4 linked regions of the Lepisosteus oculatus genome follow. The protein of the gene in region 1 purifies or fractionates together with the protein of each later gene. This does not show direct contact. Links are inferred from orthologs where the notes say so. Each region holds a gene or a part of one and is shown in the gene's direction. Other genes may lie near its edges. The genes, in order: lsm4, patl1, mepcea and prmt5.

Region 1 (7,564 bases):
ACCAATTAAGTGCAGAACAATTGCAATCACCTTAACCAGATGCGAAATGAAAGGTGCCACTAACAGCTGCAGGAACTGGGGACTCCAGGTTCGGGGGAGACAGGTGAAAGGCACTTGGGTAAAACTGCCCTTGTATCACATGGTGTCAAACAGACAGGAAATGGCAAGCCAGGATTAATACAACCTGGTCGGACTGTTGTAAAAGTGCCTGCAGTTGCATTTCTTCACAGGCAGGAAAGCAAATTCTGCTAAGTTGGGTAGACTAGCAACAACCTGAACAACTATAAAGAACAACTGTGGTCACACAACATGTATAACACACAGACATGATATAAAGAAGTCTGGGGAGAGCCATTCCTCACAACGGCATTTGCAAACAAGCCTGGGCAGAAGGACTAAATCCGTGCAACAATGACTGATCTGCTTTTACAATAATCTTTTCTCACATTTGATTGGCACTTTGCACTTTTTTGCCATTTTCCCAGGGTAAAGCAAGATGTGCGATTGTAGCCAAGTATGAATTCAGAATTAAGTTCTGTATGATTACATTGATAGCAATATACTGTATAATAGCATATGGGTAATTACATGCATATATACATACATATGTGATAATTAAAGGCAGCAAAAGGTTTTTATATTTTACTAAGGCAGGAAAGTTGGTGTGTTCTTTAGGGAAAGAAATTGTAACCAAGGGGACTGCTGACCGTGAAATATACTCGCTTTGCTTCCAGTCTCTAACAGATGTGAACTTTTTTTTGTATGTTTTTATTAATGAGAACACAAATCATTCTCATCTCCCATTCCAGTGATCACACAAACTGGCCCTGGATGGGTAGGAGACAGTGAATCACATCTAAATGTCAGGTTCATGCATTACAATATTAGCTCTAAAGGTTTTGGCTTAAATCACTTGCCGATTCCTAATTTGTCCTAAAGGAGGACCCCCCCACAAAGTGTAATAAAGCGGGCAAAAAAAAAAACCAATATTTTTTATAATCGAGATCTCACATGCTCTGGTGTCGATTGCTCATGTTTTCCCAAGAAGCCCCAGGTCACTGGGTGGTATTTAGAAAGTAAATGATTCAGGTTTAGTAATGATTTAATTAATGAACTTGGGTCTGGACCACAGCTATACTGTAGGGAGCTACCGTCTTCCTATTAAAAAAAAAAGCAATATTTTTAATCACTGAATATGGATAGAATATAATCCCCATGTTTGCATGGATTACCTCCAGGTACTCCTGTTTTCTCTCCGTCCAGACACATACTGGCAGGTTAATTGGCTTCAGGGAAAGTGGCCCAGGTGTGGGTGTCTGCTGGTCTCTTTGTGCCCCATCGCTTGCCAGAAGAAACTGGGGCTCCCCTGCCACTCTGAATTGGACAAGGAGGTTGGAAGAGGGAGTGATGGAGGATGAAAGTTCATACTTTAATGCAGTTGTTGCTAACCCTGGTCCTGAGCTACTCCTGTGTCTGCTGGTTTTCATTCCAGCTGAGCCGTTTCATCACTGATGCAAGTTGATGCCTTTAATTGACCCGTTTGCTCAGTCCTTTCTTTACCTGTTTTTGTGTGCAGTCCTTGTTTTGAACAAACCCTTCTTGAAGCGTATTGTTCCAGCAATAGATTTGTTTGCAACTTTATGCCGTTTGTCCTCAACTAGATCATTAGGAAATGGCTAATGTATTTCTGTTAAAACAGTTTGGAACAAGTTTTATGTAAGTAAGGTTTGTGTTGAACACTATATCAGACACAACCACAGTGAGAATTTCTGTCCGTCTCCTGCAGGGGTCAAGCTGGTTACATTTCAGCTAACACACACGAGTCGTGGGAGTTCTGACTTGCAGCAATTGGCCCAAGGTGATCTTAGTTAGAAATCCCATCCAACATTTTAAGGGCTGAAAAATGATTTTAAAACCTGCCTCATTTAGAGGATTGAAAGATATTCGACTTGAATAAAAGCCAGAACAAACGGGGTTCCCTTATCACCAGGGTTGGAAACCACTTCTTCAACGAGATAATTTTGTGCTTACAATTAAAAAAAAAAAAAGCTATTTTTAGCATTTGTACAATAAAACCAAATTGATTACAATAGCAACATTACTTGTACAAATAATAACCTAAATGGATGCTTTAGGTACAGTATTAACCTTTTATGGTATTTACGATAATGGAAAGGGTGCTCTCTAAAATAAGGCTCAGTAGCAAACTCGCCGACATCTCACATATCCACCAGTCTGACGTTTCATTAATCAAAGGAGTGGCATTTTAATGGTCTTAAAAATTTAGAAGACATCTTTGAGTTATTCATACAACTCTTCAAAGGGCGTTTATTTCTCAACTTCAGGAAGGCCACGATATGCACATGGGGTCATGGAACAGTCACCGGAATAAGACATAAGGAGTGGAATAAACACTGATAAACATTACCAACTCTGTGATCAACGTGCAGAAGCTTGTTCAGGACAGAATATTGATTACTGGGGTGCTTGGAGCAGCCACAGCACTGATAGACAGTGACCTTTCCAGCAAGCCACAGGAGAGTTTGAGAATATACAGAACAGAACAAATGAACCACAGATATGCTTTCTTACCGCGTGCTGGCAAATAGGGTTTCAGAACATGGAGGGGGGGTAATGACTGTAGGTTTTTGTATATATTGGCAAAGGTTATCCACTCCAATCGAACATCAATCCTTCCTTCAAAAATCTCTCTCTACAACCAAATACTCTCTGTCTCTCAGCCAGTGTGCAAGGTATTATTTATATTCTAATGTGGTAGAGGTATGTGAAAGATATTTAGGTAACAAGACTCCCAGATGGAACTGCTCCCATATAGTCAACTAGCCACTGCAACAAATCACGATATAGGGAATGCGACTACTATTGCAAAATGGTCACTGGCTATTAAATATAACTTGTGACAGATCTCCCCCCCGTTTTGATGGTAACGAAGGGTGAGGAATGTGTACACTTACCTTCGTGTAAATTAAAATGAGGCGGGGTGGACGGACACCACTCGTATCCCATTCAGTATAGCCTGGTCATCTGTACTGCCCTCCGACATGCACACGCGCCGTTATCTCGGGGAGAAAAAGATTTTTTCTCATCCTGCACAAACATGCAACACATAAGGACTAAGGATGAATGGAGTCTTTGTGCGTTTTCTTTCGGGTTCCTCCGTCTTCTTTAAAGATAACTTAAGCTTTCATTCACGTGGTATTTTTTTTTTTAATTACCCCAATCCCTAGCAAACACATTAAATACAACCTTTGACACTAGTAACCTGAAATCTCCTTTTGAGATTAGGAGTGTAACCTGCAGCCCACCCTACAAGACTGCATTAACCCATACTTGACTCCTGAAAGCGTGATAATGTCGGCCAGCAATGACATTAATCAGGCTCACCTTATCAACAAAAATCTCACGAAATTTGCTTTTCATTGTCATTTCGTCGGCACAGAACCTATTTTTAATTTCAGGTCTGCTGCTCTTGAAAAAACTGAAGCCGCCATTTGCGCGATCTGTCGCTTAAAAAACGCCACGAAATATTTAAATGCTTTAGGTCTGTGTCCTAATTTAAAGAATAACTGAATTCATTCCTCAACTCTACACAGCTGTGCATTTGACAATGTTTATTCTAAACAAGCTGAAATGAAATGATTAGGAATTGCTATATCAGTAGTCCTGTCCTGTATAGGATGCGCCTATCACCAGAACAATAAGCATTCTGATGATAGGTTCGGAAACACGAATAATAGAAAACTATTGAATATTAATAGCAGATCAAAGGTACAAAGAGAAAAATATGTGGACATAGTTGTTCCAAAGCAGAAGATTTGTATGCCTCGCTGAATCATGATTAATGTTCCCTTATTAAACACCTTTAAATTATTTCGATAAATCTAATTAAACTCGTTACTAATAAAATCTGAACAATTTAATGCTGTCATGCTAACCGAGGGATGTGAGCTGTTGAGCTCGAAGTTTTGGTGGGGACCTTTTAACTGAATTGGCAGAGGGCCTAGTTAAATATCGAGGACTACGTGTGATATCACATCCTAAATCACATGTTCACATGGGGGTCTGGATGTCTCCAAATGTGATTTTTCGTAGGGACATCTTCAGATCTATTACGTCTGTCAAAAACACACTTAATACATTATTTTAGAAAAGGTAATCGCTTCCATCATCATATATATATATTACATATTCTTTCTTTTTCACACTGAAATATATATTTTTCTAAAGTTCCTTTGCTAGCTTTGTAATATACTCTTCCGCGTGTTCACTCTGCAGAACAGAAGGAGGATGCGAGCATGTTTTTACGACAGAAGCATACTTTACGGCAAACTGTACAAATCAATTGGCGGCAAATTGTTATCTCAAACTAACTATAGCATTCCAACGAAGAACCCTCCTTCGCTTCCTTTTGATTGGCTTATTTTACTCTTCACTCGCGTTTTTGAGGTATGATTGGAGAGTACAGTTATCCCTCATGGTTGTATGATTAACAGGCTGGGTTAACACAGTGAAGCAAAAATTATAAAAGGAAGCAGAAAGAGAATGGTGAGTTTTGCGTTTTGTGTACGAGGTTTGGGGGTTTATAGGTACTTATAGGTATTTTTATAGGCACTTTTACGGGAAAGGGAGGAGATAATTATTAAAATGCGGAAACGTGTGTTTACATCGCCCTTCACAGCGAGTAGATGCGATACTTAGAGGTTTAACTCGTATACCCGCATTAACAAGTACATTGCTTAACTTTACATTATCTGCAGAGGAAAACGCTTAGTTAATTCCATAGTCGCAGAAATGGTAGTTTTCATCGTAAGTTTCGTGCTCAGAGGTAACTAAATGTCTGTCATTCGTTAACATAAATCTCAAACAACGTGCCGCAACAGCAATTTAACATGAAATGCGAGTCCTGCGATGTTACCTATACACGTGTGTTACACGGCCTGCAGCTCTTCTTGAGTCTCTCGTTTGCGTTTACATTTTCCCCGTGTGACGAGCAGATTCGTACTGGTCCTCTGAATGTCTCTAACATCTCGTGTCCAAGTACATGATGTAACCGATTTTCAATTACAGTTAAATCTCTGGATAGACAAGTTAACCATTAGTCAAAACGTATATTCTGTTACCAGTGCGTTGAAAGTCAAATCTCTTAAAAATCTCTTTAAATCACTCTTTAGTGCTGTTAAAAAAACGGATATATGATTCACATTTCGTTATAGCTTGTGGTTTCTGCATAAATAATTATTTACAATATCAAGAGACTTACTCTTGGTCTAGACCTGAGGATAGCTGGCTTTAATTTTGCTAAGCCAGATGCTGCATTTTGCAGTGTTAGCATATAACTAACTGCATTTCCACTGTGTTCTGGCCCTGTTAGTTATTAGCACAAGTGATATGAGGGCAGCTCCATGTCATCTAGGTTTCAAGGGGGTGGTCAGCACCTGTAATGTGTACAAGAGCCTAAGTGTTATTACTGAGCAGGGCTGGGCCTTATGATGGGAGTCCTCTAAGGATAACCAGGTTTCTGCTGTAAGTAATAATTGCTTACACTTGTATAGCGCTTTTCTGGACACTCCACTCAAAGCGCTTTACAGGTAATGGGGATCCCCTCCACTATGTAGGCTCCCTGTGCAGCATCCACCTGGATGATGCGACGGCAGCCATAGTGCGCTGGAACACTATTAGTGGGGAGGAGAGCAGAATAATGAAGCCAATTCATAGATGGGGATTATTAGGAGGCCGTGATTGGTAAGGGCCAATGGGAAATTTGGTTACAACCCTACTCTTTAACCGGAATGCCCTGGGATTTTTAATGACCACAGAGAGTCAGGACCTCGGTTTTACGTCTCATCAGAAGTACAGTGCCTGCTTACAGTATAGTGTGCCCGTCACTATACTTGGGTATTAAGACCCAGATGGATCACAGGGTGAGCACCCCCTTCTGGCCCCACTAACACCTCTTCTAGCAGCACCCTTAGTTTTTCCCAGGAGGTCTCCATTCCAGATACTGGCCAGGCTCACTCCTGCTGAGCGTCAGTGGGCTGCCAGCTGGGAGTTGCAGAGTGATATGGCTGCTGGCCGAGTGTATTGAAAAAACAGACTTTTAGGGTTCTGAGTCACGTCTTTTCTTTTGTATTACTACTGTATTTCATAGAAAGTGGAATTTGTTAATTCTGCTCTTAAAAATATATTTTTTTGGTATCCATATCACAAAGTTTTCCTAAACCATTGTTGCTTTTCCAGCTGCCACTGTCATTGTTGAAGACTGCTCAGAATCACCCTATGGTAAGTAAGTGCGCATAAAATAATGCACTAATAAAATTACAGGGGCACCCTAATGAAAAAGGACATGAAATGTCTTTTACTCAGAACTGTTTTATCCGCTCAAGTTTTCTGCCAGCACCTGTAGCTTTTGATTTCCTATGTTTTACTCCTGTATTTAATGATTTCCTATTGAATGATTTCACCATGAAAAAACATCATGGTGAAAAGTATCAAGAGATCATATGGTTACATGTGTTGAACAGACAGAAAATGCTTTAAACAGTGTAAGAAATAGCTCTCATGGTCATATTGAGACAAATGAGCCTGTTGCTTTAGAGAAGGGTCCTGTATCCCCAGGCCTGTAGTGTGGGGTAGTGGTCAATGCTCTGGACTCCTGACAAGGAGTTAGAGGGTTGTGTGTTCAGAACCTAAGTGGTGATAAAGCTGCCAGACCCTTGAGTAAGGTACTTTACCCCGAGTGCTTTTGTGCAATAGATCTGTGTAAATCAAAAAGTAATTATAAACTCTCTCACACTGGATATAATTTGTATTCCAACATTTTTATAATAAAAATGTTTGAAAATGTGTTGTACTTTGTCGTCCGCTGTGCTATGCGTTTGTTTTTTGAATGAGATCTTTTCTTTTGTATTGCTCTTGTATTTTCTAACTGTTCAGAGCCCATCCTGACCCTTTTATTCTTGTTTCAAAGCTGGTGGAGCTGAAGAATGGGGAGACATACAACGGTCACCTAGTGAGCTGTGACAACTGGATGAACATCAACCTGAGAGAAGTCATCTGTACATCTAGGGTAGGACCTTTCTCATTGCTGTGTAGCGGGACTTGAAAGAGATGTCGTTAAATCTTTCGAAGTGTGTGACAGGTGGTGATGTATAGGTGCTGCAGAAGCTGAATTTGTACAGTTAAGGTACTGACCACTAGGTGGCTCTGTATGTTTAGAAAAGGAAATACTAGCTTTTCAGGAAAGCCCTTTAAAATCCTGATACTGTTATTCAGGTCTCCTCTGGTCTGATGAAAAGAGATGGAAGAGTTTTCACTGAAATCAAAGTAGACTTATAAGCCTGATGGAGATCAGTGTCTTAAGTGAGCTTAAGAATATAGCTTAAGAGAGTTATTGCCCTGGGTGAAACTGCAGCGGTGTGATAAAGACAAGAAGTTGTTTTTCGAACCTAACGAAGACTCCATTGCCAATATATGGTTCTGCTGTAAATACAAAAAACAATGTTTTGAGTCGGAAAGATCGCAAATTGGATCAAAAACCATGGGG
Region 2 (7,793 bases), on another chromosome or scaffold:
TACAGGCACACTGACTTACAGGTACAGGCACACTGACAGACAGGTACAGGCACACTGACAGGTACAGGCACACTGACTGACAGGTACAGGCACACTGACTGACAGGTACAGGCACACTGACAGGTACAGGCTCACTGACTGACAGGTACAGGCACACTGACAGACAGGTACAGGCACACTGACAGGTACAGGAACACTGACAGACAGGTACAGGCACACTGACTGACAGGTACAGGCACACTGACAGGTACAGGCACACTGACTGACAGGTACAGGCACACTGACAGGTACAGGCACACTGACTGACAGGTACAGGCACACTGACAGGTACAGGCACACTGACTGACAGGTACAGGCACACTGACAGGTACAGGCACACTGACTGACAGGTACAGGCACACTCACAGGTACAGGCACACTGACAGGTACAGGCACACTGACTGACAGGTACAGGCACACTCACAGGTACAGGCACACTGACAGGTACAGGCACACTGACAGGTACAGGCACACTGACTGACAGGTACAGGCACACTGACAGGTACAGGCACACTGACTGACAGGTACAGGCACACTGACAGGTACAGGCACACTGACTGACAGGTACATACAGGAACACTGACTGACAGGTACAGGCACACTGACTGACAGGTACAGGCACACTGACAGGTACAGGCACACTGACAGACAGGTACAGGCACACTGACAGACAGGTACAGGCACACTGACTGACAGGTACAGGCACACTGACTGACAGGTACAGGAACACTGACAGACAGGTACAGGCACACTGACAGGTACAGGCACACTGACTGACAGGTACAGGCACACTGACTGACAGGTACAGGAACACTGACAGACAGGTACAGGCACACTGACAGACAGGTACACACACACTGACAGGTACGGGCACAGAGGTATACACACACAGACACACTGACAGACATACTTACTGACACCAACAGATGGACAAGCTGACAGACAGGCACACAAACAGGCAGAAAAAGGTCCTGTTCATCTGGATTACTGAAAGAGGAGAAGGGAGATATACCACATCCAAAAGAAACAGAAACTGTTTTTTTAACATTATGGGAATAACAAAGCTGGGAAGGCTGGGAACTGTGCTCTCAGTGACTGCTGGGAAGATAGCAGCTGGTATCTAAATTTGCCTGTATTTTCCATTTCTCGATGTTTCAACATCCAACATGCTAGAAAGCCAATCTAGTTGTGCTTCTCCATAAGTCAACAGCACAAAGCCCTCTTGAAGAGCCTCCATCCCCCTAACTGATGATAGGAAGGGATGGGAATGATGATAATGATGGGGAAGATGGTGGTGATGATGGTAGTGGGGATGAAAATGATGAGGATGATGCTGATGGTGGTAATGAGGATAATGAAGATAATGGGGATGAAGGTCAGGATGATGGGATGGTGATGGTAATGATGATGGTGGTGATGATGGTGATGAAGGTCACGATGATGATGGTGGTGATGTTGATAGAGGAGATGACGGTGATGCTGGATGTTATAGTGATAGTGATGATGATGATGTGATGAAGGTCATGATGATGGTGATGATGACAATGATGATGGGGTGGTGATGATGGTGATGACGTTGATAGGGGTGATGATGATGATGGTGATGATGATAGTAATGGGGGTGATTATGCTAGGGATGATCGTGATTATGGTGATGGTGATCAGGGTCATTATGGGAATGAAGATGATGATGATACTTGTGATGATTATGGGGATGATGATGATGGTTATGATGTAGATGATTATGGAAAAGATGACAATGGTAATGATGGGTGTTAGGGTGATTAAAATGAAGATTACAATAATGGGGATGATGAAGATGATTATAAGAAAGTAGATTTTGGATTACGGTGAAGGGAAAGATGATGGCGATGAAAGAGATTATGATCGAGGTGATGGGGATGGACATTATGGTGTTGGTGGTGATGATGATGAAGTGTTGACAGAAACATCATCTAGAATGCACTTTCTTGTATTTTATATGATAGAAGTTATACAAGTAAGAATTTGTTAGTATTCTGAGAGCAATCCTTCCTTTCTCCTTTCTCTCAGGAAAGGAAAGAGGAGCCTGCAGCCTGGAGATCAAAGCCCTTCTCCCAGTCTGGGATCAGAAACACTCTGTAAACAACAGCACACTTCTTTATTGTGACGCTGTCTGGGGTTGAATAAAATAAAGATCAAATGAAAAATCCTTTTTTTCTGACACTGGCCATGAGGCCATTTTAATTAACCAGCACACACAACTGTACCCCCGGTTACTTTCCTCTTCTCTCATCTCCTGTCCATCTCTGTCAGGCCCGGACTCAAAGGAGTCTCCCTCACTGACAGGTTGGAGAAACTGAGTCTCTTTAGTCTGAAAGGAGTGTTCCAACGATGACAGATTGAAGGGACTGAGTCTCTTTAGCCTGAAGGAAGTGTCCCACAATGACAGGCTGAAGGAACTGAGTCGCTTCAGTATGGAACAGAGAAGACTTACAAGTTGATCTGACCCAAGGATTCAAAATCCCCAAAGACTCAGACAATCTCAATCCACTGGACTTCTTCAGAATCAACACTGAAACACAAACCAGAGGACACAAATGAAAAGTACGTGGAAGTGCTTTTGAAACTGAGATCAGGAGAGGTTTTTTTTCTCAAGGAGAGGTGGGAGTGTAGAACAAGCTGCACAGCCGTGTTGCTGAAGATGAAACTGTGTTTTGTTTTTCTTCAAGAAACAGCTGGGTGGGGTACTTGGATCAATGAACTACTTGCTTCCAAGCAGGCTAGATGGGCTGAGTGCCCTCTTCGTGCTTGTAGCCTGTTTGTTTTCTTGTTTTCTTTACATGTAACAATTATAATGTTCCTCTCTTCTGCATTTGTACTCTGTATGTCTGCTCTGATTTACACACTGCTCCTAATGCACTGTAAATTGTTATTGATTAAATGTTGAATATAAAACCCAAAATGTGTGTGTACACAAGCCTAAAGCACAGAAGCCACAAGTACAATCTGTGAAGAAAATTAATAATATAGTAATAATAACATCAGTTTATTAACCATTTACAATTTCTTGCATTAGGAATTTGTCTTTTCACATACCCCAGCTTGCTCTCCATGAGACACACAGACAGGGAGAGAAGCTTGGGGTCAGAGCGCAGGGTCAGCCATTGTACAGCACTGCTGGAGCAGTTGGGGTGAAGGGCCTTGCTCAGGGGCCCAATGGAGTATGATTCCTCTGCCAGCTGCAGGATTTGAACCAGCACCCTTCCAGCTACAGGCACAGAGCCTTAGCCACAGAGCCACCACTCTGCCCCGAAGGAAATTTAAAGGAAATTGCTTAAATGTGAGCATTGAATACACAGAACTAAAAACACAAGACACAAGACACAAAGCTAACATGTAAAGATCTGAAATAGAATAAAGAAAACCACCTGACTTCAACCTCTGCCTACTAGATCCCTAATGCTGACCACTCCCAAGCACAGTGCATGGACATAGGCCACAGTAACTAATACTGATCTCATGAAATACCTGAATTCATGGTCAAACCACACAACAGTCTTCACCACTGGTCTAACACACAACTACTGACAGGCCTGCTGGACTATGACCCTACAAGACTCTGGGAGACACTGGGAGACTCTGGGAGACACTGGGAGAGACTAGAGACACTGGGAGACTCTTGGAGAGACTGGAGACACTGGGAGACTCTGGGAGTCACTGGAGACACTGGAGACACTGGGAGACTCTGGGAGACACAGGGAGAGACTAGAGACACTGGGAGACTCTGGGAAAGACTGGAAAGACTGGGAAAGACTATAGACACTGGGAGAGACTGGAGACACTGGGAAAGACTATAGACACTGGGAGACTCTGGGACACACTTAGAGAGACCAGAGACAGTGGGAGACTCTGGGAGACACTGGGAGAGACCAGAGACACTGGGTGACTGGGAAAGACTGGAGAGCCTGGGAGACACTGAGAAAGACTGGAGACGCTTGGAGATACTAGAGGCACTGGGAGAGACTGGAGACACTGGAGACTGGAGACTCTGGGACATTTTAGAGACTCTGGGAAATACTAGAGACTCTGGAGGCACTGGGAGAGACTGGAGACACTGGGAGAGACTGGAGGAACTGGGAGATTTGGGAAGCCATTGAACAACTTGGTGACCCAGGAAGATGCTGGGAGTGGAGGCCCTGGGAAAGACTGGAGACACGAGGAGACATGGTGGACTCTGAGACACACTGAGAGACTCTGGAAGAAACTGGACACAAGACTGAAGAAAGATCTCCCAGCTCATGTCAGATCTTACAGCCCTGTCAGCAGCTTCCACAGCCTGCCTTGAAACTCACTGTTGTGCTCTAGGTTTTAGTTCTGTTTCACTTACTGTTAACTTGTTTAAATTTGTGCTCACCTGTCTAGTTGTACAGTGTCTTGAGGTGCTGAACCATGAAAGACACCCTATAAATTAAATGTGCTCCTGATTATTGATAATTGATCATTATGGAGCCTTATGAATGGCAGTGGTGTGTTGAATATCTCAGTTCTTTTTCTCTCCTTGTATTATAACATATATACAACGTTTCTGTCAGATAATTAGAACTGCCATTTGGGAAGTAGCGACGGGCACGCGCTTTCTCGCCCAATCCGACTGTTAGTGCTCGCGCTCGACAACAGGGCAGCATGAGCGCGCCGGACGCAGCTGTGCGTTCGTGCGCGCGGCCCGGCGTGAGCAGCGGCGTCAGGAGCGGTGCGGGTTCATGTTCCGATTTCAGGTACGTTGCTTCTCCAAAAATCGCCTTTCAGGCTTCCGCTGCCTGTAGGATTGTCCGGCATTATGTGGGTATGTCTGCATGGGCTGCGGAGCTCTTTCCGGCGTCCTCTTACTTTGTCTGTGTGGCGCTGTGTGTCGTATCTCCTGGTTGAGGCCTACAAGCCTCGGCGTTTCCTGCTTAATTCTCCCCGCCGAGGGAGCGTCTGCCGGCTCTGGGATGCAGTTGGCCGATCTAGGGTTACGCTTACCTGTTTAGTTTTTTCCGCCACTGTTTCAGCCATATGACATTCAAAACTGTCCCTGTTTATAATCAGCAATGCGATATGTTGGGTTTCTTTTTAAAAAACGACTGGTCTTTGTGACGGATCCACCGTTATAAAGTATCTGACGAGAAAAGCTGTCTCGGTCCCACTCGTGATTACCGGCGAGTCTATCACTGGGGAAGCGTTTTGGAGGGAAATTGCTGCAGATTCTGACCATAAACCTCTCATGAAGAGTGTGAGGCCCAAAGACAAGTACATTTCCTATAGTTTGAGCCCCAGGGTATCTCTGCAGATTACACCCAAAATGGGGAAACTGGTTTTAAAGCCCCTGGAAATTATATATTTTATTTCTCGAGCTGTGCACCAGGATTTGAGTTAGTGAGTTAGCTGCTGAATTAGTGTGGGGACAGGTTGTGAACACTAGTGTTAGTGAGAGATCAGTGTGTATTAGTGTGGAGATGGGCTGTGAACACTAGTGTTAGTGAGAAATCAGTGTGTATTAGTGTGGAGATGGGCTGTGAACACTAGTGTTAGTGAGAAATCAGTGTGTATTAGTGTGGAGATGGGCTGTGAACACTAGTGTTAGTGAGAAATCAGTGTGTATTAGTGTGGAGATGGGCTGTGAACACTAGTGTCAGTGAGAGATCAGTGTGTATTAGTGTGGAGATGGGCTGTGAACACTAGTGACTCAGATTAGTGTAGATATGGGGTGTGAACACTAGTGTCAGTGAGAGATCAGTGTGTATTAGTGTGGAGATGGGGTGTGAACACTAGTGTCAGTGAGAGATCAGTGTGTATTAGTGTGGAGATGGGCTGTGAACCCTAGTGTTAGTGAGAAATCAGTGTGTATTAGTGTAGAGATGGGCTGTGAACCCTAGTGTTAGTGAGAAATCAGTGTGTATTAGTGTGGAGATGGGCTGTGAACACTAGTGACTCCGATGAGTGTAGAGATGGGCTGTGAACACTTGTGTCAGTGAGAGATCAGTGTGTATTAGTGTGGAGATGGGCTGTGAGCACTAGTGTCAGTGAGAGATCAGTGTGTATTAGTGTGGAGATGGGCTGTGAACATTGGGAACAGTGAGAGATTAGTGTGGAGGTACACACTAGTGTATCTAGAGATGAATGTATCTAGAGACTAGTATATCTAGGATGGGCTGTGAACACTGTTGTCAGTAAGAGATCAGTATGTATTAGTGTGGGGATGAGCTGTGAATACTAGTGTCAGTGAAAGATCAACCAAATCAAGTTACTGGTCAAAATGTAATCTTATTTAGACCATAAGACATAAGGTCAGAAGCAAGTGGAGGTCTCTCTGCCCTTCAAGGTTGTGCGGTAGTAGTTAATCGAACCCAGGATCTTGTCTGTGTCCTGGAGGAGGATCTCATCCAGTTCTTTTCTAGAATGAAACCAGGGTATCGGCCTCATCAGCATGGCGGGGCAGCTTGTTCCACACTCCCACCACCCTTTATGTACCGAAGGGCCTCCTATCCTCAGTTTTTAGATTGAGTTCTGTTGTTTTCATTTGGGTCTTTTGGTTTGGACACTCAGTTCCTATTATTGTCTCCTGTCCTCTAGTGTCTTTTTATTCAAGTTCAAAGAGCTTTATTGGCTAATAATGTACAGTGTTCCAAAAGCAGATACAATTCACAGAACATTTACATTTGCACATCATTGGACATTTGCATACATAACATAAAACATTATGGTGAGACAAACTACTCTCTTTTCCCCGGGCTGTGACAGGGGATCACATACTGGGCTGCAGCTCTGTTGAGTTTCCTCCCCCAGTAGGATCAGGAGCTGTTCTTTTTCTGGCAGGTGTGGGGATTCTGGGCTTAGATTTATTTTAAGAATGTTTGTGTAATCCTAGAGTATTTCTCACAGTGCAGCCTTTGTCTCTGCTTCTGACTGCTGGGAGTAAGAGCACAGCCTGTCCTCTCTGGACAGCCAGGTCTGTCTGTGTCCAGGCTGTGGTCACTGAGCCTGTCCTCTCTACACAGCCAGGTCTGTCTGTGTCCAGGCTGTGGTAGCTGAGCCTGTCCTCTCGTAACTCGTAGGTTAGTTGAGCCCTGGGAAAACTGGCCCTGGTGTGAGTGTGTGTGTGTTGTTTCTGTGTGTCTGCTCTGCAAGGGACTGGAGTCCAGGTTGTACCTTGCCTTGTGGATAGACACTGGCTCCCCCATAACCCTGAAGTGGATACAGCAGTTAATGTATTGTTGGGTGTTTTTACATAACTGAGCAGGGCCTTTCCAGGGTGTTTATCCCTGTCTCACTCCTCCCCCATGTGTGGTGATCTCTCTGTGGCGACATTCTCTCACACATGGCTCTGGGCTATGGTGCTTGTTTTCAGAAATGCTGCACAGTTGTTGTGCAGGACTGTTATGCAAAGCTCTACTTCCGCCTGCTCGTAGATTGATAGCAGATGACTCTTCAGATTATGGCCCAGGCTGGGTTCTGCTAGTTCATTGTGGCCAGCTGATTTTCACAATCCACTCTATCGACTATGTTTCTCACATTATCTGACTCTCCTCCCCCTCCTCTCAGTCTGTATCTCTTCCTGTCCTTTGTGACTCTCTGATTTCTGATCTCTGCCACCCTGCTGCTCCTCTCCCCTGGTTCCCAGTTCCTGCGGTGTCTCTCCCCCATCCTGCAGTACTCCTGTTTCACATTCTTACCCTGACCCACTGACCGTCTCCCTATACACTGGCCATCTTTCTGTCTGGAACAGATACACT
Region 3 (7,863 bases), on another chromosome or scaffold:
TCTCTAACCCACACTCTTCTCTCACCCCCACACTCCTCCTTCACCCCCTCTCTAACCCACACTCCTCTCTCACCCCCTCTCTAACCCACACTCTTCTCTCACCCCCACACTCCTCCTTCACCCCCTCTCTAACCCACACTCCTCTCTCACCCCCTCTCTAACCCACACTCTTCTCTCACCCCCACACTCCTCTCTCACCCCCTCTCTAACCCACACTCCTCTCTCACCCCCTCTCTAACCCACACTCTTCTCTCACCCCCACACTCCTCTCTCACCCCGTCTCTAACCCACACTCCTCTCTCACCCACCCTCCTTCACCCCCTCTCTAACCCACACTCCTCTCTCACCCCCTCTCTAACCCACACTCTTCTCTCACCCCCACACTCCTCTCTCACCCCGTCTCTAACCCACACTCCTCTCTCACCCCCACACTCCTCTCTCACCCCCTCTCTAACCCACACTCCTCTCTCACCCGCTCTCTAACCCACACTCCTCTCTCACCCCGTCTCTAACCCACACTCCTCTCTCACCCCACCCTCCCTCACCCCCTCTCTAACCCACACTCCTCTCTCACCCCCTCTCTAACCCACACTCTTCTCTCACCCCCACACTCCTCTCTCACCCCCTCTCTAACCCACACTCCTCTCACCCCCTCTCTAACCCACACTCTTCTCTCACCCCCACACTCCTCTCTCACCCCGTCTCTAACCCACACTCCTCTCTCACCCCACCCTCCCTCACCCCCTCTCTAACCCACACTCCTCTCTCACCCCCACACTCCCCTCTCACCCCGTCTCTAACCCACACTCCTCTCTCACCCACCCTCCTTCACCCCCTCTCTAACCCACACTCCTCTCTCACCCCCTCTCTAACCCACACTCTTCTCTCACCCCTCTGTTACCTTGCTGTTTTTTGGGGTCCCTGCCCTCTCTTCCCCTGTTGTCCTCCAGACAGGTAGGCCTCTAGGTTTCTCCTCAGGCTCCTGGTCTGACTCCCCAGTTTTCATCTTTGGTTTCTTCTTGTCGCTTTTGGGCCGGTCTCCCTCCTTTGCTCCCTCTTTCAGGACAGAGCCCGTCCCTCCGGGCAGTGGCCTGTCTCCGCGCTGGCCGCCCACTCTGTCCTTCTTCCTCCCGCTCGGCTCTGCGGCTCCCGCTCTCTTGCCTCCGGGCTGCAATCCCGCCCAGCCCTTTCCACCCGTGCAGCCTGCCAGGCTCTCCTTTATCCCAGCTGGGCCTGGCCGCGCAGTGCCCTCCTCCTCTTCCCCCCGGAGGGTCTTCTCCTCCCACCCCTCTCCCCTTCCCGAACCTCCACCGGGGCCTACAGCCTTCCCCTTCCTCCTTCTCTCCCCCCCTGTCCTCCCAGGCCCCAGGAGCTCCCTTGCCTGGCCCTCCAGCCCCGGCACCCTCAGGCTCCGCTCCTCGGGCCTCTTGCCGCCCGCAGCCGCTGACCTGCTCTTCCCCGTCCGAGGAATCGGCCCCTTTCCCAACACCTCCGTGGATTCCTCTCCTGCGCTTCTCCCTGCTCCGATTCCCCGTCCCGGGCTCTCCTCGCCGGCCTTCCGACATGGCCTTCCTCTCGACCCCGCCGCCTTTTCCCTCTCCCTCACTCCTGCTCCCCTCTCCTCCTGCGGCCCTTTCCCCTGTCCGTCGCCCGGCCCACCCAGGGCGACTGGGGGAGCGAACTTTGGCTTCTTCATCTTCAGCTTCTCTGCACAACACAAAGACATACTGATGGGACATAAACTAGGGACACACACATCTGAAACGCTGTCGTGCTTAAATCCAAGAACGCCGGCTGGACAAGCTGCCGGAGGACTCGCTGTCAGATTTCAGGAATCACTCTTGAAGCACAGGAGGAAGGTGGCAGGCGAGAGCAGGCCTGTTGGCACATGTGCCAGGTTTGCTAGTTGGTAGCCAATCGATGCCAAGATCTTGTCCAGCTGTTTCATGAAAGGGCCCTGGATATCGGCTTTAGCAACACATCTGGACAGCTTGATCCACACTCCCACCACCCTTTGTGCAAAGGGTACACACACAGACACTCACACCAGCGCCAGTGTTCCCAGAAGTCAATGAACCTGCCAGCATGGCTTTGGACTGTGGGAGGAAACCCACGCAAACACAGGGAGAACACGCAAACTCCACACAGATAGCAGCCTGGGCCCCAGTGCTACTGGGCTTCAGCGCTAACCACTGCACCACTGTCGCCTTATTTGAGAAAACACAGTAGGTGAGTTCATCAAGACACACTCTCAGGACTCACCCACACCCAAATACACTCTCAAGATTCACACACACACCCCAGACATACTCTCATGACTCACACACAACCCAGACACACTATCAAGACTCACACACACCCACAGACAGACTCTCAAGGACTCACACACTCTTAAGTAACACATTCACGCTTGCAGTCTCACATACACAACCTTGGTCTCAGACACGTGCAGGTCTTTGAATTATGTATGTGTTTTACATAATTTACCCACATTTACTTTAGGGAGTCACTTGAGATTTGTAATAATTTGGTTTTTGAAAGGTTCTCAACCAGGTTTCCAATATTATTAAACCTCAATGTACAATATTTGGTGGTGGGTCTCATATAAACATTGTTAAAACGTACTGTCAATTTCCTTCCAGACCAGACACCCGAAAAAGGAAAGATTTAAATAATTAAAGCCCCAATTGTCTATGTAATTCACATCGAAGACAGATTGACGATCTGTATGTTAAATTGCAGTCAAATGTAATCGAATCACATTTTCTGTACGGTGGATAGAAACTGTTGTTTCTTTTACTGAAAACAATGACTTCGGATTTATGAAGTGTATTCATTTACTTGCGATCTCATCCATTTCTTTACATTTTAAAAGAAAACTAAAGAACCAATGGCGATAAGGTTTGTACATTGGTTGGGAAAAGCGACTGAAAGTAACATGTTATCCGTTCAAAGAGGGGTATCACATCTTTAAAATAAAAACTCGGGAAAATGTGAACAGAACACAAGCAAATGTAGAATAAATTCATAAAAAAGTCATTGGTCCCAAGTAACACCGGTCGCGGGTACCGTGACGGAAATCCCACAGCTGGACCGGGCCTTGCCTACCCAGGCTGGAACAAGATTAAAAGAGAAAAAACGCTCCTTTTTTTACCTTTTCCTTCGTCCATTCTCCACAAAACCGCCAGGTTTCTGTCTTAACAAGTAAAACTCGGAGATGGAGAACACAAAGCTGAACAAAATTCGTCACAAGTTTTAGAGCCGTTTTTTAGGGGCAGCGAGGCGAGGACTGGCGCGGGCAACGGGGTAGGTCTCGCGCGCCTTGCCGCCCTCCGAGCACGCTGGGCCGAGGGCGGTCTCGAGCCAGATCTAAGATCTAACACAATACGGAATAATACATTGTGTAAAAACACTCTACAAAAGAGCGGTTATATCATGTATGCAAGGGATCAAAAAAATGCCACAGTCCTCGGCTCCTCAGCACTACGGTTACTCGTTCACTTGCCCTCGCCAACGGAGTCAGTGTAGTTGAAATAGCAGGCGAGTGGCACGTTTACATGGAAATACTAGCATTTATTTCAATGTTATTTCTTTGCACGTAGGCCTGACGTCTGAGGGTTATTACTGTACTCTGTTATCGTTGTAAAGAAAGAATATCACAAAGCGGGAGAAAATATACAAGAAATGCTGTTCCAGCTGTTAACGATGTATCATGACGTCAGAAGAGCGCCAGAACGACGACTAAACCACGTTAATCTGTAATGAATTTACCTCAACGAGTGGTGTTTGTGGACACATTCTTACCAGTTATCTTTATGGATGCTGCCAACTGGCCTATTCTTATTTACCTGTTCTGCCTCCTCGGATTTTATCCAGCACTGGCTGACAACCGGTTCGCTGGTTTCCCGACTCCTGTGCTTCGCGTGTTGCGACAGGATTTGTGCACTCCGGGCGCCTGTGTGTTCAAGGAACGCGATGGAAACGGAGGTCAGTAGCAGCAACACATCACAGTAACTCACTGCTGGTGTTCGCGGGGCTGTGGAAGGGGGTTATGTGCCGCACCTGGTTAAAAATCTCCGCCGAACCGGGATTAATGGACAAGGGAGGCCGAAACTGCGACAGACCACAGGCCACTCGATTTATTGTGTACGTTGCCTGGGTGGTGCGAGGGGCGCTTACTCCTGGTTAACGCTTCGTGGGAACGTGTGCGCCGTTCGGGCGACACGGGGGCCTGGAGGCGTGAAGTCGGTCCAGCCCGGGCCCGCGGGTGGGAACATCACACGAGAGAGGACTGACCTCTGTCACTCAGCCGGCACCTGTGCGCAGGGGACAGTTCTAAAACGCTCCACTGCGGGTGGCTTTATTGTAATAAAATGAAGTGGAGGAGTGAATAACGTTGTATCGAACGAAGGGGGGGGGGGCGGCTGGATTTTGCAAGCATCTAGTCGTGTAGATGCCGCTGCGTGAACCACGGGGTCACTGAACAACGTTAGTTCTTCACGGTGAATTCGCTGTGGTGAGCTTTGTAACTCGAAGACGGTCATCAGAGGGTAAAAGACTGACGTGCTTAAGAAGACGTCAGTGGAAAGAGGTGCGTTTATAACACGCCTTGCGCTTCACTGTGCGCGTTTAGGAAGAAGCTCTCCAGTCGCGAAACCGTCTGGAGTGGACTGTCGCGACTGGGAAAACTACATGTCCCAGAATCCTCCACGGAAGGCTCGAGGACCTGCCTCACGTGCTGTCGCAGGCAAGCGCCGAGTGCTGGGGGGGAGGGGAAGCGGTGGAAGGGGGAGGGGGCGGGGACCGCGTTTTAACCGCTACGACTTTCTTTCTCGAAGACACATCACACTATTCAGCGTGCGAGCATTTTATCGTCCTTTGTGTGGGTGCGGCTGTGCCGGAGAAAGAGCGAGATTCGTTCCGGCGGCAGTGAAACACCAGGTTGTTTACACGGGTTGGGGTGGCCGCGGCGGTTTCCTGTCTGAACAGGGAGAAAAAGTGCTGTCGGTTGTAATTAAAAAAAAACAGGCCAACGCTGAAAGTCAGCCGAGACGCAGTGAAATTATTTTCATTTGTTTTTCGCATATTAGGGCGTTGGTTTATAAAAATAGCGTCCAGCCCTTGTGGGAAATGTATTTTTGTCAGGCACTGTACTAGAGACCTACAGGGAAAAGGGGGGAGGAAGAGACGAGGTTAGTCGTTACGCCTCTCCCCCCGTTCCTTCCTATTGGTCAGACGAAGAAAGGCGGGGAGGTATTTCCTCCTCTGATTGGCTGGCGTGGCTGCCGGTCTTTTTTTCCTGGGCTACACGAGAGACATATAAAGCTCGAGGAGACGCCAAAACGCAGCGCGAGATCCAGCAGCTCGAGCTAGTCTCGCTGATTAGAGCCGCGAGAGGGGGGTCCAGCGAGAGAGAGCTCACTGACACTCACACACACACTGACTGCGAGTTCAAACAAAAAAATTGTTTTTTTGTTTTTTAAATAATTCAGTTCAGACGAAAACTGATTTCTTGGAGGGGGTGGGTCTTGCAGATTTCATACTTTTTGATTTCGTGTGGTACTTTTAATGTATAAATATATATTTAAGAAAAAACAAAACTTGCGGGCACGATCCAGAAAAAAAAATGTCTCTCGCCAAGTCAGTTGTTGGGTGGATTTAATTTTTCCGATTGACTTACTAAAAAAACTCGGGGGAGGGAAAGTTGGGGGTGCAGCTTCAGCAAACGGGAAGGCGGAGAATACGGCGACCAGGCTGCGTGTATGTGTGTATCTGTGTCTCCGTGTGTGTGTGTATGTGTGCGCTTTTTTTCTTGCCTCCATAGAGCTCCTATGTCTCATGAATTATTCATGAGCGCGGGGGGACGTTTGGCGACGCGGGGGCGTGGCTATGCAAATCTCTTCCTCGCTGCCGGGAGGGGGCGGGAGCACGCAGGGGCACGCACGGGAGAGGGTGGGCTGACGCTGCCGGACGAATAGACAACGTTTTTTTTTTCCTGCTTTGCTGCTACCACAAAGCACATGGACAAGAGACTCGGCAGCTCATTCGCAAAGCCAAGCAGCTCCTAGTGCCGAGGACTAAAAAAACAAAAGAAAGACGTTTGTCAGCCGCTGAAGGAATTCTGTTTTCTGCAGGGACGGGCTGCTTGGCTGCCTGGTTTCTGTGAAACACGTCTTTGTCGGGGAAAGTGTGCTGGTGCTCTCAAGGCCAGAGGAGGCTGGGGGGGGAGTTGTTGTAGAGGTGAGAGGGGCTAGAGCGATCGTCGGGCGGCCTATGAGGTGAGCGGGATGGGAGGGGTGGGAGACGCGGTGCTCCCCGCCGCCGTGCCGCGCTGACTCTCGCCCCCCTGTGTCTGCTCCGCAGGTCCATGCGCAGTGCCGCCGGCGTCGCCCCGGGGCCCAGCAGGAGATGATCGAGATGTCGGTGGACAAGGAGCCGGCCGGGCTGGGCGCCAGCGGGCCCCAGGACCAGCCCCAGCGCCGCGCGCAGCCGGAGGGGGAGTGCGCCGGCGACCGCAGCAGCGCCCCCCGCCCGCAGGGGGGCGCCGCCGCCCAAGCGGGCACGGAGCCGGCGGAGCAGCCGGGCCGGGATTGCGGCGCCGCCAGGCCCAAGAACGGGCTCCAGCAGCAGCAGCAGCAGCAGCAGCAGCAGCAGAAGGCCTTCAAGCGCAGGAACAGCGTGAACGTGGGGTTCAAGCACCCCGGCTTCAGCAAGAGGCGGCGGCGCGCCAACTCGGAGAGCGACCCCGTGCTGCCCACCAACTTCCTCCTGGGGGGCAACATCTTCGACCCCCTGAACCTCAACAGCCTGCTGGACGAGGAGGTGAACCGCGCGCTGAACGCCGAGACGCCCAAGTCCTCCCCGCTGCCCGCCAAGAGCCGCGACCCGGTGGAGATCCTGATCCCCAAGGACATCACCGACCCGCTCAACCTGAACTGCGCCGGCGGAGAGACCGGCCTGCTGGTGTCGCCCATGAAGACGGGCGGCGGGGGCCGCAAGCGGCACCGGCACCGGCACCACGGCGGAGGCGGCGGCGGCGGCGGCGGCGGGGGGGGCGTCTCCACGCAGCCGGACCCCGCCGAGCCGGGCCGGGCGGGCGCCCTGCGCGAGGGCCGGGGCGCCGGGGCGGCGCTGTCCTCCTCCGTGCCCGGGAGCGCGGTCCCGCAGGCCCCCGCCGAGGGCGCCGCGCCCGGGGCCGGCCTCACGCCCGTGCCGGAGTCCCCGCGGCCCTACGAGCTCAACACCTCCATCAACTGCCGCGACGAGGTGGTGCAGCCCATCCTGCCGCCCAGCGCGGCCGACCCCTCCTCCTGCGCCTCGGCCCCCCCGGGCTCGGCGGCGCCGCCCTCCTGCCCGGCGAGGCACCGCAAGCGCCGGCGCACGTCCAGCAAGTCCGACTCCTCCTCGGCCGCCGCCGGGCCGGGCCCCGCCGCGGGCGGCCGCAAGGTCACCCCGGAGAAGGGGCGGGCGGCCCGGCAGCAAGCCCAAACCTTCCAGACCCCCGTGGGCGGGGGCGCCGGCGGGATGGGGGCGCCGGGCAGCGCCGCCTCGGCCTCGTGCGCCCGCGGGGGCGCCGGGACGCACCGGCGGCGCCGCCAGCAGCAGCAGCAGCAGCAGCAGCGCAAGTTCCAGTACGGAAACTACAACAAGTACTACGGCTACCGCAACCCTGGCTGGAGCGAGGACCCGCGCGTCAGGGTGCTGCGGCCCGAGTGGTTCCGGGGCAAGGCCGTGCTGGACCTGGGCTGCAACACGGGCCACCTGACGCTGACCCTCGCCAAGAACTGGCAGCCGGCCCGCGTCACCGGCCTGGACATCGACGGCGCGCTGGTGCACGCCGCGCGGCAGAACGTCCGGCACTAC
Region 4 (7,644 bases), on another chromosome or scaffold:
ATACAGACACACTGACTGACTGGACACTCCAGTACATTAACACTGCACTGAGAGAGAGGGGTTCATACAGACACACTGACTGACTGGACACTCCAGTACATTAACACTGCACTGAGAGAGAGGGGTTCATACAGACACACTGACTGACTGGACACTCCAGTACATTAACACTGCACTGAGAGAGAGGGGTTCATACAGACACACTGACTGACTGGACACTCCAGTACATTAACACTGCACTGAGAGAGAGGGGGGGGCTGCAGCAGAACCAGACCTGGGCACCACCAGCCCATCTGGACCCAGAACAGGGGCTGCAGCAGAACCTGGCACTGCTGGAGCAGGACTGTCACACATAGGCACTGCTGGAGCAGGACTGTCACACATAGGCACTGCAAGTCCATCTGGACCCAGAACAGGGGCTGCAGCAGAACCTGGCACTGCTGGAGCAGGACTGTCACACCTGGGCACTGACAGTCAATCTGGACCCAGAACAGGGGCTGCAGCAGAACCTGGCTCTACTGGAGCAGGACTGTCACACATAGGCACTGCCAGCCCATCTGGACCCAGAACAGGGGCTGCAGCAGAACCTGGCTCTAATGGAGCAGGACTGTCACACATAGGCACTGCCAGCCCATCTGGACCCAGAACAGGGGCTGCAGCAGAACCTGGCACTGCTGGAGCAGGACTGTCACACCTGGGCACTGACAGTCAATCTGGACCCAGAACAGGGGCTGCAGCAGAACCTGGCACTGCTGGAGCAGGACTGTCAGACCTGGGCACTGACAGTCAATCTGGACAAGACCAGAGTTATAATAATAATAATAAACTTTATTTTATATAGCGCCTTTAAAGGTGGCTTCTCAAAGCGCTTTACAGGATGACAATAACAATAAATAAGAAGACTACAACAATAAATAAGAAAATTTCACAAGACAGGACACAATTATAATTACAACAATACACCAATAACAATAGAGGAGACCGTGGAAGATGGTATTAAGAAGAGCAGAGGGGTGAAGAATGGAACCAGTTAAGTAAAGGCTTTTCTGAAAAGGAGGGTTTTGAGTCTGGATTTGAAGGAGTTTAGAGAAGGTGACTCTCTAATATCCTTGGGCAAGGAGTTCCAGAGCTTGGGGGCATAGCAGGAGAAGGCCCTGTCGCCCATACAATGTAGACGGGCTTGGGGGACAGTAAGGAGGGCAGAATTTGAAGAGCGGAGGTTGCGAGGTGGGGAGTAGGGCGATAAAAGTTCAGACAGGTATTGAGGTGCCAAGCCATGTAAAGCCTTGTAGGTGAGCATGAGGATTTTAAAGTCTACGCGGAATTTGACCGGAAGCCAGTGCAAGGACTCCAGGATAGGAGTAATGTGAACACTTGCACTAGATCTGGTCAGGATTCTGGCTGCTGAATTTTGGACATACTGCAGCTTGTTCAGAGTAGATTTAGATACCCCAGGGAGCAGAGCATTGCAGTAGTCAATTCGAGAGAATACAAATATGTTGATCAGCTTTTCAGCCACAGTTAATGATAGCATAGGGCGTAGTCTTGCGATATTTCTAAGGTGAAAAAAAGATGTTTTGACAGTATGCTGTACATGTGGGTCGAATGTTAAGCCAGAATCGAATATAACCCCAAGGTTTTTCAATTTTGATTGGAGCTCAAGTACAGAGCCATCTACAGACAGGGTTACAGGACTGGCTTTACGAAGTTGATGGGGGGTACCAATAAGCATGACTTCAGTCTTGTCACAGTTAAGATGAAGGAAGTTTTGAGTCATCAAAATTTTTATGTCAGAGATGCAATTAGATAGAATAGAGACAGCCACATCAGTGTCGGGTTCGGTATGGATGTATATTTGAGTATCGTCAGCGTAAAAATGAAAGCTGAGGCCATGTGATCTTAAAAGCTGACCAAGTGGGAACATGTAAATGCTGAAGAGCAAGGGGCCCAGTATTGAGCCCTGAGGGACACCAGACTTGACAAGACCAATTTCAGACCTGTACCCATTGAGAGAGACAAAGTGACAGCGATCAGTGAGGTAAGACTTAAACCATTTGAGGGCAGTGTCAGAGACTCCAAACATAGTCTCGAGACGAGAAAGCAAGATGTTATGGTCAACAGTGTCAAAGGCAGCACTGAGATCAAGAAGGATGAGTATGGAAAGAGAACCAGAATCAGAAGCTATTAGGAGATCGTTGGTGACTTTGACTAGGGCGGTTTCTGTGCTGTGAAGTTGACGGAAGCCAGATTGGAGGGGTTCGAAAAGGTTGTTTGTCATGAGGTGGTTATGTAACTGAAGTGTGACAGCACGTTCTAGAATTTTAGAGAGAAAGGGTAAGTTGGAGATGGGGCGAAAGTTGTTAAGATTGTCGAGAGCCATGTTAGGCTTCTTTGGCACTGGGGTAATAGCACCAGTTTTGAGGACCGTTGGTACAATGCCGGTGCTCAAGGATTCATGTATTATATTGAGGACAATGGGACAGAGAGAAGAGAAACAGGACTGGAATAAAGTGGTGGGAATGGGATCTAAAATAGATGTGGTGGGTTTCATGCGAGTTATGGTTTTCCAGAAGAAAGCCAGACCTCAGGGAAACAGGTACAAATTCACACTGAACAACAACACATTGGAGCACACATCCAGCTACACATATCTCGGTCTCACCATCAGCTCTTCCGGGAGTTTTGACCTGGCAGTGAAGGCACTGAGGGAGAAGGCACTCAGGGCTTTCTACGCAATAAGAAGGAGGCTCTTCAACATCAACCCACCAACAAGAATCTGGCTCCAAATATTTGAAAGTGTAATCCAACCCATTGCCCTATACGGCAGTGAAGTTTGGGGTCCCCTCACAGACCAGGATTACACCCAATGGGACAAACACCCCACAGAAACTCTGCACATGGAGATCTGTAGAAACATCCTCCGTGTGCAGAGAAAAACTCCTAACAACGGGTGCAGGGCCGAATTAGGCCAGTACCCACTATTGATAAACATACAGAAAAGAGTATTAAAGTATTGGTTACACCTAAAAAACAGCGACCAAAACTCCTACCACCACAAAGCCCTGCTGAGCCAAGAGCTGAGCCCAAAACAGAGCCCCCTGAGCCAGCTGGTCCTGAGGCTCACCGACCTGAGCCACACCGACACCAGCCAGCCTCAGGACAGCACTGCTAGAGAACAGAACAAACAGAAACAGACCCTGACGAAGTACAGGCTCAGAGACCACAGTCTGGCCATAGAAACTGGGCGACACAGGCAGACCTGGCTGCCCAGAGAGGACAGGCTGTGCTCCCACTGCCAGCAGGGAGAAATAGAGACAGAGGTGCACTTCCTACTGCACTGTGACAGATACTCTGGGATTAGAGAAACATTCTTCCCCAAATTCAGAAATCTAATCCCAGAGTTCCCACACCTGCCAGAATCCCAACGGGTCCCAATCCTACAGGGAGAGGGAGGAGGGAACTCAGTTGAACTGGCAGCCCAGTATGTGATCTCCTGTCACAGCCTGAGGAACAGTGAGTCCGTCTCCCAATAATGCTCCAGCCGCCTACAGTATATGTCAATATTTTATGACATGTCTCTGCTGTAAATGTGTGTAGATTTGATTTCATGTTTTGTTTCATGTTAATTTTATTATCTTTATTTGCTTTGGCAACACTGATTGTACCCATCGGTCATGCTAATAAAGCACCTTGAACTGAATTGAGAGGTGAGAGAGAGACACGACTCCCACAGTCTGAAGACATACTGCCTGGGGTAATTGTTTAATAACTGGTTAATTGTGTCCTTCGTCCTTCTTTCCTGCCCGCCTTTCCACGGAGCACCAAAGATAGCGAGATCGCCGTGGAACTGAAACCTCGTTCACGTCGCGCCGTGTTCTTCCGGAGTTTGCGTCTCCTGGTTTCAGGGCTGTCATGCCGCCCCCTGGCGGCACCGCTGACGCACCGCAGCTTGCGAAACCAGCTCCTCCTCGCTACTCATGCGACTCGGGTTTTAGGGGGAATCACCCAATTCGCATAGTAATTAACATTTTGGGGGCGTCATTTGAACACAATCAGCTTTTGTGACCGACGGCTAGACAGTGGTGGGACTGAGCAATTAATCCCCTGTTGAGTGAGAGTTCATCAGGCGACTGAATTCAGCGAGCTCCTGTCGGGAGAACGTGAAGAATCTGAAATAAGAACAGTGTCCATGTCCATAGTGTAAAACACTCATGCATTTTGCTCAAATATTAATTACCAGCTAAAGCGACAGTTAACAGCACAGATAACCTCTCACTGAATTACAAAGGGACCTTAAAGACTGCTAAATTTGATTGCATGATGCGCCTGCCTCCAGTAATTGCTTAATTAGCCTTGCCTCGGCCGAGCACGCGGGAAAGATACTGCCAGCGCGCAGTCTCGCTACGAAATCTCGGAATTCCCGTCTCACCGAAACCCACGACCCACAGTACCCCTCCCCTTCCGTTCGCTGATTGGCTGTATGGATCCACCTTTCATCGCATGCCCCCCTAGCTTCTCTCCCACTGGCTGAGTCAACTGTCACTCTAAGCCAGTCCTGCAAATGATTGGCCCTTCGCTCACTCGTGCGTGCCCGCGCCTGACGCGGTTGCTAAGAGACCGGGGAAAAGGGACGTGAAACTGATCCCGGTGCGCCGCCATTTTGGATCAGAGCGCGGTTCTTTTCTACAGCGACTCAAAGTCAGCGCCGGAGCCAAGATGGCGCCCGTTTCCGAAGTGAGCCCTCTCTTCCGCCGCTCCGCCGGGCTTGTGGGTCTCGGTGTCTGTCGGCCAGACAGGGGGTAAAGATGGCGTCCGTGAGTTCGGCGAGTCGGGTCTCCAGCGGCCGGGATCTTAACTCCGTCCCCGAAGTGGCAGACACGCTAGCGGCGGTCGCTAGACTCGGGTAATGAGCAGCCGTGGTCGCTGTGCGTTTCTTTCTTGAGGAGGGGGATGGGGGGGCGGCAGGTTGTGGGGTGCTGCAGCAGCACGTGAGAGCCGGGCCGCTCTGTCGGGGTTCGCATGTCCAGAACCTTCCGATCCAGCCGGACCTGCTCCGAGCCCCGTCTCTTCCAGCTCGATAACATGACCGACTTTAGTTCGCAACCTGTAAATACCGGCTGCCGGTGTGACGCGGGGAAGCACGTTCGTCGTTTTTCTTTTCTTCTAAATGCCGTGAGCGCTGCCGGAGACGTTTCACACGGGAAACGGCGTGAGCGCGGCCCGCTCCGGGACTGTGGACATAAAGCCGGGAATCCGCAGCAGCTTCTCGAGAGTTTTTCAACCGCTGTCGGTGTGACGTCAGGCGGCGGTGACGTCACCCGCCGCGCGAAGTTAATAATAATAATAATTGCTTACACTTATATAGCGCTTTTCTGGACACTCCACTCAAAGCGCTTTACAGGTAATGGGGATCCCCTCCACCCCCCCAGTGTGATGATGCTCCAGTCCGCTCACACACTCCAGCTCTCAGTGGGGAGGAGAGCAGAGTGATGAGGCCAGTTCAGAGAGGGGGGTTATTAGGAGGCCATGACTGGTAAAGGACAGGGGGAAATTTGGCCAGGACACTAGGACACTGGGGTAACCCCTACTCTCAGATAAAGTTGGGTTCATCTGACAGAGCAGGTGAAACAGTCCATCGGTACTCTCTCAGTGCAGTGTTCATGTACTGGAGTGTCCAGTCAGTCAGTGTGTCTGTATGAACCCCTCTCTCTCAGTGCAGTGTTCATGTACTGGAGTGTCCAGTCAGTGTGTCTGTATGAACCCCTCTCTCTCAGTGCAGTGTTAATGTACTGGAGTGTCCAGTCAGTCAGTGTGTCTGTATGAACCCCTCTCTCTCAGTGCAGTGTTAATGTACTGGAGTGTCCAGTCAGTCAGTGTGTCTGTATGAACCCCTCTCTCTCAGTGCAGTGTTAATGTACTGGAGTGTCCAGTCAGTCAGTGTGTTTGTATGAACCCCTCTCTCTCAGTGCAGTGTTAATGTACTGGAGTGTCCAGTCAGTCAGTGTGTCTGTATGAACCCCTCTCTCTCAGTGCAGTGTTAATGTACTGGAGTGTCCAGTCAGTCAGTGTGTCTGTATGAACCTCTCTCTCAGTGCAGTGTTAATGTACTGGAGTGTCCAGTCAGTCAGTGTGTCTGTATGAACCCCTCTCTCTCAGTGCAGTGTTAATGTACTGGAGTGTCCAGTCAGTCAGTGTGTCTGTATGAACCCCTCTCTCTCAGTGCAGTGTTAATGTACTGGAGTGTCCAGTCAGTCAGTGTGTCTGTATGAACCCCTCTCTCTCAGTGCAGTGTTAATGTACTGGAGTGTCCAGTCAGTCAGTGTGTCTGTATGAACCCCTCTCTCTCAGTGCAGTGTTCATGTACTGGAGTGTCCAGTCAGTGTGTCTGTATGAACCCCTCTCTCTCAGTGCAGTGTTAATGTACTGGAGTGTCCAGTCAGTCAGTGTGTCTGTATGAACCCCTCTCTCTCAGTGCAGTGTTAATGTACTGGAGTGTCCAGTCAGTCAGTGTGTCTGTATGAACCCCTCTCTCTCAGTGCAGTGTTAATGTACTGGAGTGTCCAGTCAGTCAGTGTGTTTGTATGAACCCCTCTCTCTCAGTGCAGTGTTAATGTACTGGAGTGTCCAGTCAGTCAGTGTGTCTGTATGAACCCCTCTCTCTCAGTGCAGTGTTAATGTACTGGAGTGTCCAGTCAGTCAGTGTGTCTGTATGAACCTCTCTCTCAGTGCAGTGTTAATGTACTGGAGTGTCCAGTCAGTCAGTGTGTCTGTATGAACCCCTCTCTCTCAGTGCAGTGTTAATGTACTGGAGTGTCCAGTCAGTCAGTGTGTCTGTATGAACCCCTCTCTCTCAGTGCAGTGTTAATGTACTGGAGTGTCCAGTCAGTCAGTGTGTCTGTATGAACCCCTCTCTCTCAGTGCAGTGTTAATGTACTGGAGTGTCCAGTCAGTCAGTGTGTCTGTATGAACCCCTCTCTCTCAGTGCAGTGTTAATGTACTGGAGTGTCCAGTCAGTCAGTGTGTCTGTATGAACCCCTCTCTCTCAGTGCAGTGTTAATGTACTGGAGTGTCCAGTCAGTGTGTCTGTATGAATCCCTCTCTCAGTGCAGTGTTAATGTACTGGAGTGTCCAGTCAGTCAGTGTGTCTGTATGAACCCCTCTCTCTCAGTGCAGTGTTAATGTACTGGAGTGTCCAGTCAGTCAGTGTGTCTGTATTCATTTCTAGGTTTGATTTCCTCTGCATGCCGATATTTCATCCTCGGTTTCGCCGAGAGTTTGATGCAGAACCGGCCCGATCTCGACCTGGAGCTCAGACCCGATCTGACCTGCTGCTTTCAGGAAGAGGTGAGAGTATGTGTGTGTGTCCAGTGGGGGTGTGGTGGGGTCTGTGTGTGTGTGTGTGTGTGTGTGTGTGTGTGTGTCCAGTGGGGGTGTGGTGGGGTGTGTGTGTGTGTGTGTCCAGTGGGGGTGTGGTGGGGTGTGTGTGTGTGTCCAGTGGGGGTGTGGTGGGGTCTGTTCTGTGTGTGTGTGTGTGTCCAGTGGGGGTGTGGTGGGGTCTGTTCTGTGTGTGTGTGTGTGTCCAGTGGGGGTGTGGTGGGGTCTGTTCTGTGTGTGTGTGTGTGTGTGTGTGTCCAGTGGGGGTGT

What was found.
Region 2: the proteins of lsm4 (region 1) and patl1 purify together in Homo sapiens (co-immunoprecipitation; 4 studies listed by BioGRID and IntAct, with this or other methods). This does not show direct contact. The link is inferred for Lepisosteus oculatus from reciprocal best matches to the Homo sapiens genes LSM4 and PATL1.
Region 3: the proteins of lsm4 (region 1) and mepcea purify together in Homo sapiens (affinity purification with mass spectrometry; 3 studies listed by BioGRID and IntAct, with this or other methods). This does not show direct contact. The link is inferred for Lepisosteus oculatus from reciprocal best matches to the Homo sapiens genes LSM4 and MEPCE.
Region 4: the proteins of lsm4 (region 1) and prmt5 purify together in Homo sapiens (co-immunoprecipitation; 3 studies listed by BioGRID and IntAct, with this or other methods). This does not show direct contact. The link is inferred for Lepisosteus oculatus from reciprocal best matches to the Homo sapiens genes LSM4 and PRMT5.

What each region holds. Positions count from the first base shown.
Region 1 is NC_090724.1:3,861,193-3,868,756, reverse strand, and holds the start of lsm4 (U6 snRNA-associated Sm-like protein LSm4), read left to right. Parts: upstream 1-4,467; 5' UTR 4,468-4,563; coding exon 4,564-4,566; intron 4,567-6,258; coding exon 6,259-6,300; intron 6,301-6,988; coding exon 6,989-7,087; intron 7,088-7,564. UniProt on the Homo sapiens protein: Plays a role in pre-mRNA splicing as component of the U4/U6-U5 tri-snRNP complex that is involved in spliceosome assembly, and as component of the precatalytic spliceosome (spliceosome B complex).
Region 2 is NC_090701.1:44,819,031-44,826,823, reverse strand, and holds the start of patl1 (protein PAT1 homolog 1), read left to right. Parts: upstream 1-4,698; 5' UTR 4,699-4,781; coding exon 4,782-4,796; intron 4,797-7,793. UniProt on the Homo sapiens protein: RNA-binding protein involved in deadenylation-dependent decapping of mRNAs, leading to the degradation of mRNAs. Acts as a scaffold protein that connects deadenylation and decapping machinery.
Region 3 is NC_090698.1:10,420,817-10,428,679, forward strand, and holds the start of mepcea (7SK snRNA methylphosphate capping enzyme), read left to right. Parts: upstream 1-4,857; 5' UTR 4,858-4,941; intron 4,942-4,970; exon of another isoform or gene 4,971-5,521; intron 5,522-6,134; exon of another isoform or gene 6,135-6,278; intron 6,279-6,363; coding exon of another isoform or gene 6,364-6,408; coding exon 6,409-7,863. Other genes in the region: zinc finger CW-type PWWP domain protein 1-like, read right to left, coding at 902-1,726. UniProt on the Homo sapiens protein: S-adenosyl-L-methionine-dependent methyltransferase that adds a methylphosphate cap at the 5'-end of 7SK snRNA (7SK RNA), leading to stabilize it.
Region 4 is NC_090699.1:13,421,643-13,429,286, reverse strand, and holds the start of prmt5 (protein arginine N-methyltransferase 5), read left to right. Parts: upstream 1-4,639; 5' UTR 4,640-4,805; coding exon 4,806-4,903; intron 4,904-7,225; coding exon 7,226-7,344; intron 7,345-7,644. UniProt on the Homo sapiens protein: Arginine methyltransferase that can both catalyze the formation of omega-N monomethylarginine (MMA) and symmetrical dimethylarginine (sDMA), with a preference for the formation of MMA.